Linked DNA regions of Caenorhabditis elegans. The protein of the gene in region 3 interacts with the protein of the main gene of each other region in a pairwise test. Each region holds a gene or a part of one and is shown on either strand. Other genes may lie near its edges.

The links.
Region 1: the proteins of fbxa-196 (region 3) and gei-4 interact in a two-hybrid assay, tested with the Caenorhabditis elegans proteins (2 studies listed by BioGRID).
Region 2: the proteins of fbxa-196 (region 3) and skr-3 interact in a two-hybrid assay, tested with the Caenorhabditis elegans proteins (one study listed by BioGRID).

The regions. Positions count from the first base shown.
Region 1 is NC_003281.10:342,498-351,321, reverse strand, and holds gei-4 (BZIP domain-containing protein), read left to right. Parts: upstream 1-2,894; 5' UTR 2,895-2,921; coding exon 2,922-3,104; intron 3,105-3,157; coding exon 3,158-3,277; intron 3,278-3,412; coding exon 3,413-3,481; coding exon of another isoform or gene 3,482-3,634; intron 3,635-3,884; coding exon 3,885-4,283; intron 4,284-4,438; coding exon of another isoform or gene 4,439-4,453; coding exon 4,454-4,554; intron 4,555-4,813; coding exon 4,814-5,033; intron 5,034-5,212; coding exon 5,213-5,299; intron 5,300-5,463; coding exon 5,464-5,856; intron 5,857-6,239; coding exon of another isoform or gene 6,240-6,248; coding exon 6,249-6,383; 3' UTR 6,384-7,016; downstream 7,017-8,824. Other genes in the region: Y50D7A.8 (PDZ domain-containing protein), read left to right, coding at 8,100-8,258.
Region 2 is NC_003283.11:16,119,410-16,124,866, forward strand, and holds skr-3 (Skp1-related protein), read left to right. Parts: upstream 1-2,414; 5' UTR 2,415-2,443; coding exon 2,444-2,506; intron 2,507-2,560; coding exon 2,561-2,827; intron 2,828-2,890; coding exon 2,891-3,064; 3' UTR 3,065-3,239; downstream 3,240-5,457. Other genes in the region: Nuclear hormone receptor family member nhr-111, read right to left, coding at 3,646-3,845, 3,895-4,066, 4,108-4,197, 4,253-4,392, 4,589-4,759, 4,802-4,912, 5,321-5,372.
Region 3 is NC_003283.11:6,445,633-6,452,014, reverse strand, and holds fbxa-196 (F-box domain-containing protein), read right to left. Parts: upstream 3,360-6,382; 5' UTR 3,308-3,359; coding exon 3,237-3,307; intron 3,116-3,236; coding exon 2,909-3,115; intron 2,864-2,908; coding exon 2,777-2,863; intron 2,732-2,776; coding exon 2,089-2,731; intron 2,045-2,088; coding exon 1,835-2,044; 3' UTR 1,798-1,834; downstream 1-1,797. Other genes in the region: acl-8 (Phospholipid/glycerol acyltransferase domain-containing protein), read right to left, coding at 1-147, 265-359, 419-887, 953-1,117; T05H4.3 (U2A'/phosphoprotein 32 family A C-terminal domain-containing protein), read right to left, coding at 4,459-4,480, 4,549-4,740, 4,798-5,025, 5,106-5,291, 5,335-5,607, 5,843-5,929, 5,975-6,051, 6,104-6,220 and 1 more.

The DNA.
Region 1 (8,824 bases), on a different chromosome or scaffold from region 3:
AAACTTGCCTATCTGATTTCATCAGTGGCCGAGTTTTCTCTATTCACGGCTGCACAGCGAAAATTGACCTGGAACAAAATTTACACAAGTGCAAGCTAATAAACTTAAGTGCTAGAAAAAATACACGAGGTTTCGTTTTTTTAAAGTAAAAAAACTTTATACAAAGTTAGTAAGTACTTACTAGGAAAATTCCAAAAGGACTTTCACAGCTCGGTATTTGGTTCTGGCTTCATGCCCAAGTTTAGCCCAAAAATATTAACTTGGATCAAAAGATGCCTAAGCTTGGGCAAAAGTCAGGCAAGACTTTGTCAAAATTGGATTCAGGCCAAAGTTTGACCCGAATTTCACCGAACTCTTGCCTATCTTTGGCCCAAACTTTTCTTGTTTTGTTTCAAACTTGGACCAAAGTTAGGCAAGAGTTGGGTGAAACTTTGGTAAAGCCTGAATCCAAATTTTTGACAAAGTCTTGCCTAACGTTTGCCCAAGTTTAGGCATCTTTTGATCCAAGCTAATATTTTTGGGCCGAACTTTGGCAAGAGGTTAGAGCCAATTGCAGAGAGGATAGGCAAGAGTCCTAGATCTTGTTCACCGAGAAAACGATTTTCAGGGGCCTGGCGAAATTTCGAGTGGCTTCGTGGGAACTTTTTGACTTTCAGCGAATTCTTTACAGGTTGAGCTATCTATTTCAGAGACGCAAAATAAAAAATAATCTAAGCTCCATTATAGTCTGATTCCACTTGGAATATCCAAGAATACCCCGGTAGTTACAACAACTTTCAAGCTTTTCTAAGGCCTGGGTTCCCCGATAGGCCCCTATTTAACAGACCAAAGCCCAATTAGAGGTCTGATAGAGGTCTAATTTCATGGCATCTGAATACGGTAGAAGCCTAGGCAAAATTCTCAGTGTTCAGAATTTCCAGAAGTTCCTAGTGCCTCAAGGATAGCCTGAGCTCCATTCTAGTCTGATTCCACATGGTATATCCAGGACTACTGGAGAGCCCCAACAACTTTCAAGCTTTTCTAAGGCCTGGGTTCTCTATTTTAACAGACCCAAGAGGCCTGATATCATAGCCTCTGAATACGGTAGAAGCCAAGTTCTGCTCCTCTTCCTCTCCTTATACTATCTCCTGTGCTTCTTCTCCTTCTTCTTTCCTCACTGAGAGTGCCTGAGAGTTATTGTCGGCCGTCATTCGCCTCTCTTGTTTTCGAGTCTGCCGCACCCTCCGATCCATCTCTCCCCATCTTTCTCTCCGCATCACGTTACCCATTCATTCGGCACTCCTCCACGCACTCTCCACAATCGATACGCTGTCGTCACGGCCTCTAAGCACACACACTCCACGACGGGCGCGCTCTCTCGTGCCGGGTGTCTCGTGATCTCCGCCACTCGGCACAGTGTCTAGTGATGTTTGGACTCTCCGCAGCGCGCATTGTGTATGCGAGTGTGCAACGCGTCTCCGCGTCGCGGTCGGCCTCCCCTCGTACACAATGCCCCGCCCGTCTCCAATCTCTCCTCCCTCTCGTCCTATGCGCCCCAAATCGTCCTCTTCTTTTGTGTATATGTTTCGTTTTCTCTTAGTCTTCTTCCTCTTCTACTACTACTACTTTTTGCCCCCCGTCTTGTTCCCTTCATCTCCCTACACTTCTTCTTCTTCTTACCATCCCCAACCGCATCCATCCGCCATCACACACTCTTTTCCGCTGATTTTGGGAGCGCAGAGACAGAAGGCAGGCAGGCAACAAAATAGTGTGGTTAACAGTGATGATGGGAAGAGCATGGGCGGTTTAGGCGCGAAGAGGACAAATTTGAATTCTAAAAATCGACTTGAAACGGAGAGGTACAGGTTGGATTTGATGCCTTGGCCGTGAAATGGGAAAATTCGGAGGGATTTTCAGAGAACCCACAGCGATAGGAATTGGAAGACGGTATTAGAACCATTACATTAGGCTTTAGGCTCAGGTACTTGGATACGGGGCCCTCGTGGTGTCAGGCTGTCCTACTATGGTTTGATCTACAAAAAAATGCGGAAATTTTTGGCCCATAAAAATGTGACGTCAGCAAGTTCTTAACCATGCAAAATCAGTTGAGAACTCTGCGCCTCAACTCCGGCATTTTTTGTAGATCTACGCAGATCAAACCGAAATGAGACACTCTGAGACTTTTTCGTGGGGACCGCGGATATAAAAGGTCGGCCACCAAAATTCATTGCTCTTCTAGAATGCTAACTCTGCCTCTGGAACCCAAAATACCTCTGGATTTGCTGAAACTAGCTTAAAAGTGGATCAGCAGGACCTTTTCCGCAGGATTTAGAGGGACTGACCGAGTTTTCTCTTTCACGGCCACCATGTTCAAGCAGTGCACCTGGGCACCTGTGCACACAGCTCCAACACGAAAAGAAACTAAGATTTTTGCATTTTCAGTAAAATTCAGAAAATTCCACGTGGATCAGTGAAAATTTGGCGCAATTCCGTCGAAATTAGTACATGCTGGGACTATAATAAGAATTTTTTAAGCTTTTGCAGTGAGATACGTTGTTTTCAATTTTATTTTTCAATTTTTCAATCAAAATTCATGTATTCTTCTTTTGTTCCAGTCATTTTAAGCAGTGTTTTCATTATTCTAGTCTTATGAAATTCGAAAAATTGAGAAGGAGGCAAGTGCGCTCCAGTGACACTCCGGCAAATTTGAATTCGAAACTTATCTGCTTCTCTATTTTTCTCACTTTCTCCATTTAATTTCTTATTTTTCTTTGGTTTTCCTGGTTTTCCTTGGTTTTTCTTCAAAAAATTAATTTTTCAAGTGATTAAAATTGTTTCCAGCACAATTATATCCTTATTAAATCGCAATTCTCATCGGAAACTAGCTTAAAAACCTAAAATTCCAATTTTTTCAGGCTCGGAAACACAAAAAATAATAAAAAATGCAGCAGAATATACAATACACATACAGTTCGGATCCCCGCTCGGGCGGTAATCAAAATCAGCAGCTACACGGAATATCGCAATTTCAACAGAACTCCTATCAGCCGACGACGTATTCAAATTCAAATGCGAACAATTTTCATTCCTCTAATTCCGCAACTTTTATACCTAATTCAGTGACGGTAGGGGATTTTCAGGAAATCGAGTGAAAATGTTCAATTTTATTTAATTTCAGCAAACACCTCAGCGGCGGATGGGAGAAGAGAAGAGTTTAGTTAATATGCTTGACGCTTATTTTATCGACAGTACGACACCTTCAACATCAACGTCGTGGAATAATCAGCAGCCAGTTCAGGTAAAAATCGTAAAAATCGTGCGATTTGGCTTAAAAAAATGGCGGAAATCTCGAAAAATCTCGATTTTCCTCATTTTTTACCGTAAATTCTATCGTAATTGTGGTTGTGTTTGTGAATCGTGATTTATTTTATAGATGTCTTCAATACAACAATCAGTTGGATCATACAATCAACAAATACCTCAGTTGAAAGTAGGAGATGTGGTAAATTCGTTGTTTTTTCTTTGTTTTTTTTTGGGGAGAATTTCGTGTTATTCAGTGATTTTTTCAAGGAATTTTGAATTTTGCAGCTCGAAATCCGCGTGGATTTTCGCATTTGAGCGGATTTTTCAAAAAATTTGCTCAAAAAGTCGATAAGTTACTGGAACTTGCTTAGTTTTGCAACTATGGTCTGCTAAATAATTAGCAGACCAAAGGTGGGTATGCTAAATATTTAGCAGGCCCAAGTTGGGTATGCTAAATATTTAGCAGACCCAAGATGCGAAATCGAGCAGAATTTGTCCATTTCTCGAGTTTTAATGCGAATTTTAAGTTTCAACACACTGAAAACACGAATTGAATGAAATCACGCAGCGAACTCACCGAGCACACCTCAGAAACATTTCAGGACCTACAAGTAGAAGGAATGAATGTTAAACTCTCCTCGTCACCCGACAAAGGCGAGAAGGATCGAGTAAAGAAGGCGCGACAGGCAGAAGCCGCCCGAATGCGTTATCACCGACTATCAAACGAAGAGAAACGAGAGTTAAACCTGAAAAGAACGTTGGCGCAGAAGCGAAAACGGCAACGTGAGAAGGAGATGGAGGAGCTCGAATCGATTTTGCGGGAGACAAATGACATTCAAGAGGATCCGGACATCACCGAACAGCTCAGAGAGAAGAGAATGCGGGCCAAGTGGGCAGAGGCCGCCCGTACACGTTACGCTAGAATGACGCCGGAAGAGCGCCGGGCGCACAATACGCGGAGACGTATGCGGCAGATGCAGAACGCGATGAGCGCGATTAAGGTGAATATAGAACATTGAATTCTAGCAGAAAATCTGGAAAATTAGCGGAGAAGAGGAAAATTTAATTGGGTGAAAATCTATTTTTGGTAAAATCTCTCCTCCCTAACACACAAAATTTGTAATTTTTCCGCTGCTACCGTGACGTAACATTCCAGAAATCGGAGTTTCAGGCATGTGGAATGGCTACAGGAGATCCACAGAAGGACGACGAGGCTGTCCGGTTGCACATCAAGACGCAGAATGCGAAAAAAGCGGAGGCGGCTCGTCAACGGTAAGGAAGAGATTCGGGGGAATCAGAATAGCTTGGGTCTGCTAAATATTTACCATACCAAACTTGGGTCTGCTAAATATTCAGAATGGGTCTGCTAAATATTTAGCATACCCAACTTTGGTCTGCTAAATATTTATTTGGGTCTGCTAAATATTTAGCATACCCATCTTTGGTCTGCTAAATATTTAGCAGACCCAACAATTGCGAAATTCACCTGAGTTTCCACACATTTTCGATCAAAAAACCTCCAAATTTCCAGATACCATCGAATGAACGATGACGAGAAGCGCGTCTACAATCAACGAAGGACAGAAGCGTTCCGCCGCCGTCGTATGGAAGAAGAGATGCTGCTCGCCATGCCTATAGGCCGTATCAACGGAGAAGCACTGGATCGTGCTCAGCAGATTGTGGTCCGAAACGCGAAACGAGCCGAAGCGGCACGTCTTCGCTACCAGCGAATGACGCCTGATCAGAGAAAGGTGAATATATTTTTGCTACAACTAATCAATCACCAACGAGAGACAGAGAGGGTCTTGCGATGACTTTTAGTTATTTTTGAGCACGAAAAATTTGAAAATTTGCGCTAGCGAATCCAAAAAAAAACCCCGGGTTTCTTCCCCAACTCTCCGAGATCTCAGACTCCTAAATTTTGTTGTAGGTCGCGAAACAAGAACCGAAAGAAGAGTCTTGGCCCTCTCATGAGCAATCTGACACGCAAATCGACCATGATCTCGATCTCGGAGACGTTAGTGAAACCTTTTTTCTTTTATTTTTCTTCTTCTTTTTTTTGAATTTTGGATACTGAAATTGAGAATGAGAATGCTTGTTGTGTGTAGGCTTTGCGCATGTGTGTTTTCGAAAAACAAAATTTCAAAAAAAAAAAAAACATTTTAATTTTTAATTTTTCAGTCGTACAATCAAAAACGCTACACTCCAAAGCGTCGTCGCAACGAGATGGACGACATGATCAGCGCCGGACAGATGGCCGTCGGATCCTCTGGAACCATCACAATGGGCACCGGCACCCCCGCCAAAAAGGACGATATGGACGCTCTCTCCTCGTTGGAACGTGACGTCGTCAAGCGCACACAGCACGCTCAGCAGATCCTTCTCCGACAACGCGCGAATCAGTCGTCGGGAACGCCACGCTCGGTTACACCACCGCCACAGGCCTATATAATCTCGAATGGTCAGCAACAGCACCAACAGTTGGTTGGAAATCAGGGAAACAATGGGATTGGACAGCACCAGGTGCTCCATCAAGGACACATGCAACAGCAGCAGATTCAGGTGTCACACCAGGTGAATATCGATGAAAACTAGGAAAAAATGAGTTTTTGAGCGGAATTTTGCTATAAAACTCGAGGTTGGGTATGCTAACTATTTAGCAGACCCAAAGTTGGTATGCTAAATATTTAGCAGGCCCGAAGTTGGTATGCTAAATATTTAGCAGACCCAAAGTGGGTATGCTAAATATTTAGCAGACCCAAAGTGGGTATGCTAAATATTTAGCAGACCCAAAGTGGGTATGCTAAATATTTAGCAGACCCAAAGTTGGTCTGCTAAATATTTAGCAGACCCAAAGTTGGTATGCTAAATATTTAGCAGACCCAAATTTCAAAAAAAAAATTGATTTTTACTCAAATCTCCCCAATTCTAGAATCATCCAACTAATCAAACTTTAGGATTTTCAGCAGTCGTCCCAATCGATTCCTCAGAACATCTACACTTCTGGCATGATTATCCAAAATCAGGGACAACAGCAACAAGGCCAGCAGCAGCAGCAGGGACAGTCTCAACAAATATTGAACAATCCTTATAGAACCTAATAATATAATAATTCCTGTTCTTTTTTTTTCAAATCTTCTCTTTCTGTTCTTTTTTCTTCTTCTTTGTCCATTGTTTTTCTTTCCTCTGAAAATTGCATCTGTATTATTTACTGAAAATCGCGTAGTTTTTTATCTTTTTTTAATCAAAAAATTCAACAAAAAAAACCACTAAAAATTGAAAAAAGTTTGCAAAAAAAGCCCCAAAAAATAAGTTTTCTTCCTCTTAATTGTTAATTTTTTAACGTTTTATTCAACTTTCCATTTCTAATTTTCACTGTGACCCAATTTTTTGTTTCATTTTTCTGAAACCCCCATTACCAATAATTTCCAGATATTCTCATTCTCAAGAACCTCCTCTCAAATATCCGAACAAACCCTGCGCTACCGTGAAATCTGCCTTAAACCCACCCCCATCTAGAACTACCTGAAAATCCATGTTATTTTTACATTATCCTTTTTTTCCCCCATTTCTTGTTTTAAAGAAAATATTCACCCTGCGTCTCGAAATTCTTATACTCTATCCCCATCCCTCTCCCACACAAAATCCTCTCCAAATTTCCAAATATTTGGTAATCTGAAAATTTTCGTCGAATTTGAATATTGACGATTAATTAGAATAAAAATTGAAGTTTATTCCTGAGTTTCCGATTTGAAAATTCCTTTTTTTAGCGTGTTTTTTTCAGCGTTTATCTACTTTCTTTTACAAAAATTGTAATAGAAAAAAATCGATATTTGCCACGTGGCAAGCCAAATTGGGTCTGCTAAATATTTAGCAGACCCAAGAAAAATTATTTAGCAGACCAAAGTTGGGTCTGCTAAATATTTGGCAACCAATTTTCTCCAGAAATCCAATTAAAAAGCTCAATAAACCATGAAAAGAGCATTCAGTTGTAAATATTTAATACGAAATTCTATTTCTTGCGGAAAATAATAATTTTCTTGCTGTTCGCACTGGGAAGAGAGGAAATCCCTCAATTTTCCATCCCGATAATTGCACCTTACACTCGGGGTCTCTCGAGAGTTTATAATTAGCTTTTATTTTCAGAAAATACGTATTTTGTTTATCAAATACCCCGAAAATATGAAAATTCTCATGACAACTGGGGAAAATCCATAAAAAAGTGGCAGTGGGCAAGCGCGCTCCATTGATAACGTGCATTTTCCGATATTTTTCCAAGCTCAAGGCGTTCGCTGTAATATATATTTTTCAGCCGAAATAATGGTGAATATGGATTTTCAAATGAATTTTTCAGATTTTTAAGTCTCCTAGGCCAAAAAATGTTTAAAAATTAGTTTTTAATGCAATTTTCCAACTGAAAAATCACTTTTTTTGAGAGTTTAGCTCTATTTGAGCATAAAATCTCAAAACTTTACACATAAAAAGTCAATATTTCATGCCTCTCCTTTCCCCGCCAAAGCTGCACCAAATTGAAAATTCCATAGAAAACAGGAAATCAGTGAGCGGATTAAATTTTTCTCTCTCTCTCTTGATCACCTGTTCGTGTATATGTGTGAGTAGGCATTGAGCACCTGATGACGTGGAGATTTGCTCTCTGAATTGAATTTTGGCTTTGCCTAGATATTCAGCAGTCCTATAAATATATTTTAATGTTATATTTTTTTTGGCTTTTTGTTTTTCGAATTTTCTTGAATATTTGTTTTAAAAATTAATTTTTAATTAATTATTTTATCCTCAGAAATCCACGTGTGGATGATATGAATCACGATGACGACGATGATGATCCATACTACCATCAATCCACGTCATCATCGGAGGTTGCAGAACCTTCCACGTCGTCTGCGGTCTATCCAGAAGTTTACAGTCAGAAAATGATACCTGGCACTGGTGGACCGACGATTCCCGGCGCGGCGAATGTGAGGAGAAATTTTGAAATAAAAATTCTCACTAAAATCCTCAAAAAATTTTTTTTTTGTATTAAATCTAGAAATTTTCTTTAATTTAGCTCTAGACTTTTATAAAAACCATCATATTATATTTTTAAATTTAGTTTCTCACAGAAAGTCCGAAAATTGATAAATTTGAATTTTTTACAAGAAAATTTTTTTGCTTTTCTATCAAAAATGCAACAAAAAAAATTGTTTTTGTTTGGAAAAAAAATAAATTTTCTTCAATTTAGCTGTAAAATGGTATAGAAGTCATCATTTTTTTATAAATAAAATAAAACCTTACAGAAATACCGATGATCGATAAGTTTCCATTTTTTACAAAAAAAATTGAAATTTCCGATTTTTATGTCAAAAATTCAATAAAAAATTTTATTTTTGGTGTGCGAATTATATTTCTAGGCTAAACATGACGCTTAGATTTTTTTTCCTCCAAAAAACCTCGAATTTTCAGATTTTTCAGTTTTTACCATCAAAATCCCAACGTTATCTGAAAAAAACACGTTGGGTCAGAATGCCATATTTCGGTTTGATCT
Region 2 (5,457 bases), 9.7 Mb from region 3:
TGGGCTTTAAATGCACCTTACTCGACAGAATCACGTGAGATAAACGACCAAGATTATTCTCGGTCAAAGGGAAAGAGAACACATAAGTCCCATCCTTCCGAAGAAGTTCAACGTGTATATTCTTTCCTGATGCACAGGACAATAACTTTTCAGGATGAAGAAACAAGTCTAAATTTTTTAAAACCTAGCAATAATTTTTATGGAAGAAAATAAAAACACGTATTTAACTGATGTTCTACCCACTTTTTGTTTTACCATAGTTGTTGTAATATTTTTCACAAACTGTATTACTTTCAAATTGTTTATAAAATCACCAAATTATGGAGCACGACTTATAGAAAACTTACGGCTATGAAATTTTTTTTCTTCTCAACCGAATTATCCATTGTATTATTTGTACGATTTTTCTTCCATAAAGCAGAAAACACACCAAACGGCGATTTCTTTCTGCTACCTACAGTTACTCAATAAAACTAATTTTGTTCGTGAAGAACATGCGTATGAGTTTTTGAAATTGATGTTTCTATCTAACTTTTCATTTAGAGTAAGAAAATGTTCACAAAATTTTTTACGTTGAGAAATTTATATTTCCTTTTTACATGACACTTTTTCCATTAACACCATTAAGAAATTGTATAATGACAACTGGAATTGCTCTAGAAATTTCACAAAACATTTTAAAAGTACTGAAAGTTATTTTTCATCGAAAAGCATTTGAATTTAATGAAATTTTTCAAAGGCATTAACTTTTAATGTTCATTTTCCAGTGTCACCATTTGTATTAAAAACCGTCCGCATTCATGTTTATCACCCCTGGGCAGGATCCTTCCTAGGACACGGTAGTACATAAACTAGATGGTTTGGCTTAAGATACCCAGTCCGAAAACCTATATTGACTGCTATCTCGAAAACAAGCCGCAAATTTTATTTTGCGATGCATATGAAAAATGACCACAGGACAATTCTCCATCTTTTCTATTAAGAAATTTTTGAGTTGAAAATTTCCTAACCGGTGAAATTTGTGTTCGTACGGTAGATCGCGTTGGCACTGATTTAGTTGTTGTACCACCGTGAGGAAACAAAAACCTTCGCAACCGCGCTCTATTGACACGGGAGAGTGCGACTCATTCAGCATCAGATTGCCTAAAACGTTTTTTAATTGTTTTTATCACGGTTTTTACGCTTAAAATATGTTTTGTCCGTAGAAAAACATAACTATTTTCAGTAAAATCTAATAAAAATTATTTTTAACTGAATTTCAAAAATCATCTCAAATTGCGAAATATAAAAAAAAACGACTGTTTGTTAACCGATATCGAGCAGGAAAGTTAAGTCGGCCAATTTTCTGACCCCTTTTAACAAATTGCGGTCTGCCAATAAAAATATTTAGCATTTTCATAGCAATTCATTTTTTTTCAGAATAAAAAATTCGTGGTACTTTTTCATTATAAAATTTGGTATTTTCTGGCAATTTTGAGTTTTTTTTAAACTTAAATTTAAAAATAAAGTAACTAGACTCTGATCCACATTTAATTCAATGTATTCCACTGAAAATTGTCTTTTTTTCGTTCACAATTTCATACATACATTACTCAACAATTCGTCACACTTTCTCACTTCTCTCTATCTCTCCTCCCATCTTTAAATTCCTCAGCCTCTTATTCTCAAGTTGTGTACACTGTTCCTATCAACACAAATTTCGACATTTAAACGTAGCAAGGCAACGTTTTCCAGCTTATAAACCAACCGAGGTATCAGACATTTGCTCACTTTTCTGTTCTTATCAATTTGAAAATGAGTACATTCTTTTTTAGTTAAATTTCCAATAGCACACCGTATTTCCTCTAATTGTATTCCACCCCAAAGTTCAACTTTGTCAGCTTATATCTCAGTCATTGTTTGTCCTATTTAAACATTGTCAACTGACAAAATATTTGTTAGTTTTTTTTCCATCATTTCGTAATTAATGATAAACTCATATCTTCAAAATGAACCGAGATATAACGTTTCAAAGTTAAATAGTCAGGTGCAATACTAATAGAGGAAATACGGTAATTGTCAAATTCAGTATTTTCTTGGTTAAAACTTGAGAGGTTTTATAATCAAAATGCGTACCAAAATATTTTCGTTCAATTTTTTCAATTTAAAATTAAAAAAAAATAAATCTTTGATCTTTTGAACACACTTTACTAAAAAATATATCGCATGACGTTGGACACTGCAATTTGTTTCGAAATGTGTACACACACCCCATTCTCTCCCTTCTTCAAATATAGATAAGGGAACCGATGGTTTTCATATTTCACATAAAATACTCAGCAATTTTCGTCTCTTTTCTGCTGAAAGTAACTTTCGAATTTTTTTTTCTTCTTGAGTTGACTCTTCGACTCTTGACTGTATTTCAAATTTTCCAGATTACACAAAGAAATCGAATATTTAAAAAATGTCAGACGCCGACAGCCAGAAACAAATCAAGCTCACCTCTTCTGATGATAAAACTTTCACGGTATTTTTTAAATTATAATTTCCTTTAACTAAATAATAAAATGTAAGTTTATAGGTCTCACGAAAAGTGATCAGTCAATCCAAGACCATCACAGATATTATCCAAAACCTTGGAATTGAAGAATCTGGATCCACTTCTGAAGACACGATTCCACTTCAGAAAGTGACTTCTACTATCCTTGAGAAGATTATCACCTGGTGCGAGCATCACGCCGACGATGAGCCAAAGAAAGTCGACGAAAACAAAAAGACGGTAGACATTAGTGAATGGGACGCCGAATTCATGAAAGTCGATCAGGGAACCTTGTTCGAAATTATCTTGGTAAATATTAAAGTTTTATAAGCTATTCTCCAGAATTGAACATTAAACCGATTTCTTTTTCAGGCCGCCAACTACCTCGACATCCGTGGGCTTTTGGACGTGACCACCCAGAATGTGGCTAACATGATGAAGGGTAAAACTCCAAGCCAAATCCGAACCCTCTTCAACATTGAGAACGATTTTTCCGAGGAGGAACGGGAGGCCATGAAGAAGGAAAACGCTTGGTGCGAGGATTAAGCTCCCTGGTAAACATAATTAACTTGAACTTTATCTGATTCGGTTTACATACCTCTTTTATGTCACTTAAAACAAAATCAAAAATTATTTTAAACAAAAAAAAACTTTGTCTGTCAAGTACGCTTTACATTGCTTCCAACAAAAAATATAATTTAAATAAATGTATAACGTCTGTATATTGTGTAGTTTGTTCATTGTGTATGAATTTACCATTTGCAAAAAAAAAAAACTTTGGCGGCCAAATTTGCAGCCAACTACTGTTTTGACTTGTAAAAAAACTGTTCAAAATCGTTGTAACGTTTTTGGAAGTATTTCAACTGATCGAGAAGAAAATTGTTTAAAAAATTTGGTTGCCTTGGGGGAATCTGGAGAAAAAATAGGAAAGAAATTTGGGTTTGAACATTGTTTTTGAGGAAACAGTTGCAAATTAAATGAAAATCTCTAAGCCAGGACCTATGCCAAGGCCTAAGCCTTAGCCTAAGCTTAACCGTAAGCCTAAGTCTAAGCTTAAGCTGAGCACTACTAGTGAGCAAAATGGGGGTAATGTGTGCATATAACAGCATCAGAAAAATAGTCAAAATTTAAAGAAAACTAATCACAATCTCACAAGCTTTAAGATCCAGGAGAGATTCAAGCTGTCTAGTAGAATAGGATTTAAGCTCGCCGAGGAGAAATAGAAGCCTTCCAGATTTGGACTTTGAAGACTCCAGGTGCAACTGATTGAGAAGGCCGATACAGATATCAAGTTGGCGATCGAATTTGAGATCAGTGCCATCTTTGGCTGAAATTTTAGTTTCTGAAAGCTCAGCAGCTTTTCTAGTTAAACTTACTTTCCGTGAAAATAATAATTCCCTTCAAGAGGAAATAATCCTGCGCCGAAAGTTCGAGGGATTTGAATTTCTCAGCCAGTTGTGCAAATTTTTCATCGATGAAGATTTTTTCGGAGTTTTCGAACAACGCGAGGCACAAAAGATGTGGCCACTGGGTCAGTATGATCTGGCTCTGGAAATTTTTTTAATGACTTTTATGTTTGGCATTTAGACCTTTTCAACATCGGAAAGCACTGCGAAGAGCGAAAACTGTTGCACCCACTGGAGTGCGTTTTTCAGATGAACTAGCACGGAGCTTGTGTCCTGAAATTAAATTTGTGGTGTCTCAGGTTGATAGTTTGTCTCCTGATTAACTAACAATTTCATGTTGAGCATGTTCGTGTTGGAATCTGAGACGATCAGAGTGAGTAGGCAGAAGTCCCTTGGAATACTCTCGGAATGAGGGCAACTCGACATACTCTACAGTGTAGCTATGGGAAGTTCTCTCGGGTTGCACAGCTGGAAAATAATTATTTAGAGACGAAACTGTGTCGCCTTCGCCGGCTTCAGGAGGCTTCTGCCGGCCTCAGGCCTTTGTTAATATGGTGCGGCGCGAAACTCAAAAAAATGTCGGCCACTGAAAAATACCTACCGCACTATATGGTGCAAACACAAAGTTAATGATCTGAAGCCCAAACTCAGAGAAGCAGCTTACCATTCTTATTCATCCCCTTCTTGAAGCACTTTTTAATTCGACAGGACTTGCACCTGTTCCGGTTCGCTTTATCAATCACACAGTTTCCGTCTCCATTCCAACATCCATGTACCAACTTGTTTCTAACGGTTCTTCTGAAGAACCCACTGCATCCGAAACAGGTTGGCACACCTAAAATTCATTGTTATCTAGTTTCTAAATCTTCTTTCCAACCGTAATGATTTCCGTTAGAAGTGTCCCCACAAACTGCACAAAGCGTGATTGGAAGAGTTATGTTGTTTTGCGCGGGGTCATTTACAATCTGCGGTTGGATGACCAGAGGCACTGAAAGTTATAGATATGCGTGAAAGATTGTAAATCTTCTGTCATAAAACTTTTGAACTAAGTAAATTGAGAAGCTGATAAGTGCGGTCAAGTTTTGTAAGCTTCTGGTTTTTCTACTTACCGCCCGCAAACCTCTGTCAGGTTATAACGTAACTGGGATCTAAATAATGGAAACATAGAATACATTTTTGAGATGTCAACAAGTATAGTACAAAAATTGCTATCAATCTGTTCGAAAATGTCAAAAAAATTCCAAAATCTAGAAAACAACGTTGCAAGTTTGTTTTCGACTTCTAAAAATTTTCTGATATATTTTACCAAATGCTTTCATTTATACATTTCGGTGAGTTGAGTAATTATCTAGTTAAAGCATGAAAAAATTTTTCGATCCCATAAATTGGGGCATACCTGTTGAAGTTTCCAAAATGCCACCGATTGACTTCGCATTTTGGCTGCTCATCTTTTTTTGTTAAATATTCTCTCGTTGAGTAAGTTGAGAATATCCTGTCAGTATCTACAATAATAGCATAAAAATAATTTGGTTA
Region 3 (6,382 bases):
ACCACTTGCTTCTAGTCGCTCTTCCTGCTCGTAAAACTTTTTCAGTCGCTTCTCCTTTGTTGCCCATAAATCGGTGAGCCATTTCTCGCACCCTTCTCCTGTTGGAATTTCGTCTAGCTTGTACTTTTTAACATCTAAGTGAACTTTCTGAAAAACAATTTTTTGTTAAAATTATTATTTTTGGGGTTTTTGTAATTTAAATTTTGAATTATGACAATTTAATAAATGTAGAAAATTTTAAATATTTTTACAATAAAAACTTACATCTGGAAAATTGCCAGCCAAAAGTTTTGCTTCTGTGTCGACTATAGTTCCACTGTACGCAATTGTGAGATCATAAACGTATTTTATATAATTCTCTGCAAAATCCCCTGGTTCGTCGCTAGTCGCATTCAAAAATTGAAATTCTCTCTCTCACCTTTTTTCATCAATTCCATCAAAAATTTGAATCCCGTCGTTCGCGGGTGCAATACATACTCATATCTCGGTAATCCATTTTTATCGGCAAAAGCGTCGCTCAAACGAGTTGCTCGCTCTCCTTTGTCAGTTCCCTCGGCGAAAAGAAGAATCTGATATTTCTTTTCTGAGCCCGAGTAATACTTTACGATCCTTTCCAGAACTGGTTTATCATTTTCAAAGTTTCGATCCAAGAATATGTAAGATCCACTGCTCATAGCCCAACCGGCGCCGGGAATCTTTTTGAGAGGAGCTTTCAGAGATATTTTTTCTGTGGTGAGAAGCCATGGATCCATTTTGTAAAGAGCATTCCACGAGAATAACCAATCAAGTCGGGTCCGGTGGTTCATTATCAAAATTGCTGGCTCATCTCGTTCGATCAGATCACCGGTTACTCGGAAATTCACTCCAAATACCCATTCGATGAGGGACTGAAAATATTTTCTTTATAGTTTACAGTTTTTTTTTAGAAAATTAACCACAAATAACAACTTACACATGGAAAAGTTAACCAGAATCCAACAAGACGATCGGCGCATGTTCTCCATAATTTCGGCGCAAACCATGCGAGAGGAATAAGCGGAAAAAGAAGAAAAACAGTTCCGAGAAGTGAGGAGAAGAAGACGAGAACGATGAACGTGACGCCTTTTATTACTTTCATATCGTCATTCTGTTGGAGAGAGATTATTCTGTAATAAGAAACAACTGTAAATGAGAAAAAAAAGATAACGAAATAGAAAGAGACAGAGGAAAATGTTATAATTGAAATTATCGAGACACATGGTTAAAAATGCGTATAATCGCACAAATCACAGGTAAAATTTTTAACTATTCCGTTTTCTTCCCAATTCAGCTTCCTGACAAATTATTTTCAAAAAGATAGGCTAGCAAGACAAACTAAAAGTTGTATTTCGATATTTTTAGTCGAGAAGCACAGTCGAAAGCTCTCGAAAGAAAGCTCAATCTTTTTTTCCGCGAAAGCAGCTCGAAAAGCAGTAGAAAAGTCAATAAACCTCAGTGTTCGGCGGGCAACGAGGCTCCGTCCTTTCGCACTCTGCGTCTCTTCTATCATCTTATTCTCTTGCTATTTGTGTATGAAAAAGAGAGAATAAGGAGGTGAAAAGGAAAAAACAGACCAAGGCTGAAAAAGAACGAAAAAGAAACAAAAAAACAGTATGAAAAATGAAGCAAGACAGTAGCCAAATTTGGAGGGAGGTGTTCTTTTGTGGACAGGTCTCGCAACGCTCAGGAAGTTTTGAATGGATACGGTATGATTATATTTTTAATTCAATTCCATTATTTTTGAAAATGTGGTATATTTCGACACTGAAATAGTTTGATAAATGATAAATAATTTATTATCCTAATATTCACGAGTTCAAACTTGCGAGTCAATTTTCTTCTTAATGTTGAACCCATTCGGATGATAAGCAATATCGAATATTCCATTGGACGATTCATAAACAATTGAGCCAGACGAACAAAATAGAGTTGAGCGAGCATCAAAAACTTTCACGAACATTTTTGTGTTGAATTTCACATTTTTACAAGAAAAGTATTCAAACTTGGTTGATTTTAGAAGAACCTCCTGAAAGTTTATTTGGGAAAATTGATATATGAAAGGAAACTCACATCTCGAAGCTTCATGATATCATCTCTTGAGAAAGGTTCCCCATGGAAGTCGAAGTTCAAAGATTTGAAGTTATCGAGATGTTCGACGATAATTGGAAAATTTGGGACTTTAGACAATTTCAGATTCTTTGCCTTTTTCCACTGTTCCAGGTACACCAGATTTCCTGTGAACTCTTCATCGGATTCAAGACATTTAATTGTTAAGTCCTCCAGGATTCCAGGCTTAAAGTATTTCAGAAGTACAGTAATTTCAAAAGTGTGAAACCAATCGAGCAATACTGATTTTGCCGACAGGATTCCAATTGATTTAAGAACGTCGTTAATAGCATCAAATGAAACGAACTCTTCTTCCATAATTTCCGTCATAATAATTGCGAAGTAATCCATATCTAATCCTCTGATCTTCAAAAGTCTTGATACATCCTTCATAGCAACCTCCAATGGTTTCTTATCCTTAACAATCATTTTCCGTTTCTTATAGTTCACTTGACAGTCCTCATCCTCCAATTCATAGGTCACGTAGCCACCGTTTGTCTTCAATCCAACGCTTTTCTCTTCTAGATACATAGTCATCGTTTTCAGGTTAGAATGTTGATAATCGATCATAGACTTAAAACCACGGCAAACTGCGCGTGCAGCAAACCTGAAGATTTTGTATTTACAAAACAAAAATACAATCAATTCTTACCGATCAATTGGATTCAGTTTATCCAGAATCATTGCTTGGAAGTAGGTTGAAAAGTCGGTGAACTCTTTTCTCTCTGATGTATGAAATCTATAAAAGGTACTGTGATATTATGTTCATTGAAAAAACACAAACCTATCATAAGAGTCTACGGTTAAACTCCCATTTGCAAGTCCCATATACCAATATTCAAAGTGTCGGTATTCCATAAAGTGATCTCCAAATACCTTGTTCATTGCTTTATATGCATTGAAAACTGGAATGCCTTGAAGATGTTGATGTAGAATCAAGATTCGCACTGCACGTGGGTCCGTGACGATACATTGAATTTTGGGATCGATTCTAAAATTTGAATAAAACTTTTCATAACAGCATACAGTTTAGTTTTTGCTACGTTGGCAGTTGTTTGAAATTACAATTCAATAAAAGAGATCCACGTAGCATAATATAGTGAAAAATTTACTGATGCAGTGATACTGAGCTGTCCGAACCTTCACTGAGATCCTCTTCGTCGCTTCTTGGTGAATCGGACATTTTGACGATTTGGAAAAACTTCGTAGAGCTGGCGAAGTATCAAGAAATAAATAAATTTGAAATTTCATGGGCGGTTTTTTTTTTCGTTTCACGCTCACTTAAAATTTGGCTTTCTAAAATGTTTTAATTATTTCACTATTTTTTTAAAAACGTGAAATTAAAAAGTGATATTTATTGAAAAAAAAAGTGATAATGCCGAAATAAATAAAGTGGGGTGAAACCTGCATTACCTTATAGCCTACTAGGGAATTATGTAACCGTGTGGTATGATAAGAAATAAGTTGAACATGTTATATCTTCTGACAAATTGGGCTTTTAGAATCTGTAAATCATTCCTGCTAAACACACGGTGAGTCTGAAAATTTTCATCTGAAAATTCAGTATAGAATCCAGTGCATTTCCTATGGTTAACAATGGATTTTTACTCTGAACCAGAGGTGGGCGGATATTTTTTCGGATATTTTCTAATAATGAATTTATCAATTAGTATTGATGTAGTTATTCTGGAAGAAATGTATCCGAACCAAAGAGTAACTATTAAGCAACATTTTAATATGATAAAACCTAGAAAAATTCTACAAGTTTTCCTTACCGAGACCTTAAAACTTATTAGCCGAGCAACATCGGATATCGGATATTACGGATATTACGGATATCGGATAATGGACTTGCATATCGTTTATACAGAAAACTTGTAGAATTTTTCTAGGTTTTATCATATTAAAATGTTTCTTAATAGTTACTCTTTTGTTCGGATACATTTTTTCCAGAATAACTACATCAATACTTATTGATAAATTCATTATTAGAAAATATCCGAAAAAATATCCGCCCACCTCTGCTCTGAACTAGTTCCCAATAAAACTGTCTGCAGAATTCCTGTGAAAACCCCAAAAGTGGTATTATATTGAACTGATTGTAAGATCAAATCGAAATTTCAAATGATGTTTCCAAAATTCTACATTTTGAAGAACACTGACCAAAATAGACTCAGACAACTACCGTAGTTACTCTTATTGTAAGGTAGGCACTACTAACTTTTGAATACCTATCATGAGACTTATTCAGATAGTATTTATATTTAGTTGAAAAATGATAATAATAGTTTAGAAAAAAATATATTCGACAGACTCTCCACATAATTGGGCCTTTTACTTGCGATGTTGCACAGCTCTGAAAATGAACAAAAACGAATTTAGAAACATTTCATAATCTCTCAACTAATATATAAAATCACTTACTTTGTACCTAACAACATTAATCCATTGCTTTCACTATTAGTTTTACGTCTTCCGGGAAGAGGTTCAAGCCGTCGTGGTCTCATGGGGGTTTCAGCTGCACTTGGTTCTAGAAAACTTGAAGCCCTTTTCACGTTTTCCAGAGTTTCACCCTCTTCTCTCTCGAACCAAGATAGCATCGACGAGGTCACCATACTGAAATTGTGTAGTGTAAAAAGAGTCATAATATCAGATATTCCTAATTGTAAGTACCTGCTTCTTCTGCTCATCGAGATCAAATCATTTGCTCGAGACAATCTTCGTTTCGTAATTTCAATTTCATTGCTCATAATCTCGTCATCTAGTTTTCTAACAGATGGAACCTGTGCTTTGATAAAATCAACATAAACCCTTCTCTCCGTTACTGAATTGTTCCTACAGTCCAAATTTTCCAGAGTCTTGCATTCGCAGAGAGGCTTCAAAGATGCACAAGACGCAAGTCTACAAATTTGAAACTTTAATAGCTAAAGAGTATAGAACTTGCTAAAAATCGTAAAGTTAGGCACCTATCAAAAACTCACTTATTGTTTGAAATATCTAATGACACTAGATTAGGGCATGACAATGGAGTTAGAGTTGTCAATTTGTTATTTTGAAGATTCAAGGAAGTTAAAGTTTTCAATGGGCGTCTGATAATTGTTTTTATCGAGTTGTTACTCAAATCAACTGATTCCAAATTCGGAAGATCAAATAGAGAACAATCAAATCTGAAAATATTCAAGTGTGACTAGATTTACAATAACTATCAACCTTGACAATGCATTTTGCGACAAATTAATGTTTTTAAGTTTCAATAAAAGTGGGATTCCAAGTCTCAGAATAGATGTATTGCTTATTGAGTTATTCGAAATATCTAGGTTTTCTAAATAAGGAAATGGCTGCAATGATGTTTGGCCATCGTTTACTGCAATCGATTTCAGGCAATTGTTATTGAGAATAAGATGGGTGATGTTGAAGGAACTGATTTCACGAACGCTTGACAGTCGATTTTTAGACAGGTCAATTAGTCGGATTTGGGATAATCTGCAATTAAATTAAAATCTCTTTTTTTTAAATTTGGAACGTTTTTTTGAAATTTTATTATACGTTTTGAGTAACATATGTACATGTTCAGAAAGGGATTGCATGCAAAACTTTCAAAACCAGAAATTTAAAAAACTTACAAAACCAGAAAATTATGTGCCCTATAGGTATGAAAAGGTATGTACATTTATCATTGAACTGCGTTTTGGTATCTAAAAAAAACAAATTGACTCACTCCTCCATTTGTGACTTTTCCAAAATAATCTGCTCAATCTTTTGATCACAAATCATCAATTCCTTTTTGTTTTTCCATTCAGGACATCTGAAAATCAACTTTATATATGATTTCAAAAAATAAACCACTAACATTCTTTCAATCAATTCCAAGCTTAATCCTCTCGTGGTCTGTTTCATTGTGTTAACATGTCGTTCTTCCAATGGAATCTAGAACAATTTCGAAATAGAGACTAGCTTAAATTGTATAAGGAAAACACACAATTTGTCTGTCCAAAGATATCAGAAACTGTGCTGCCTGCATAACTCTTGGCCTATATCCTTCTGCAGAACTGAGAATGTTATTTGACATGTCGAGATGGGTAAGTTTTGGCATAGTCTGCAGGTAATTAGTTAAGTTTTCAGTGATAATTTGGCTCTAACCTTGAGCAGCTCTACATCACTTTTATCCTTCAACAAATTGTCATTTACAAAGAAAGTTTCTAATTGCACACATGACTCTACACCTTTCATAGACTTGATTTGATTTCGATGAAGCAGA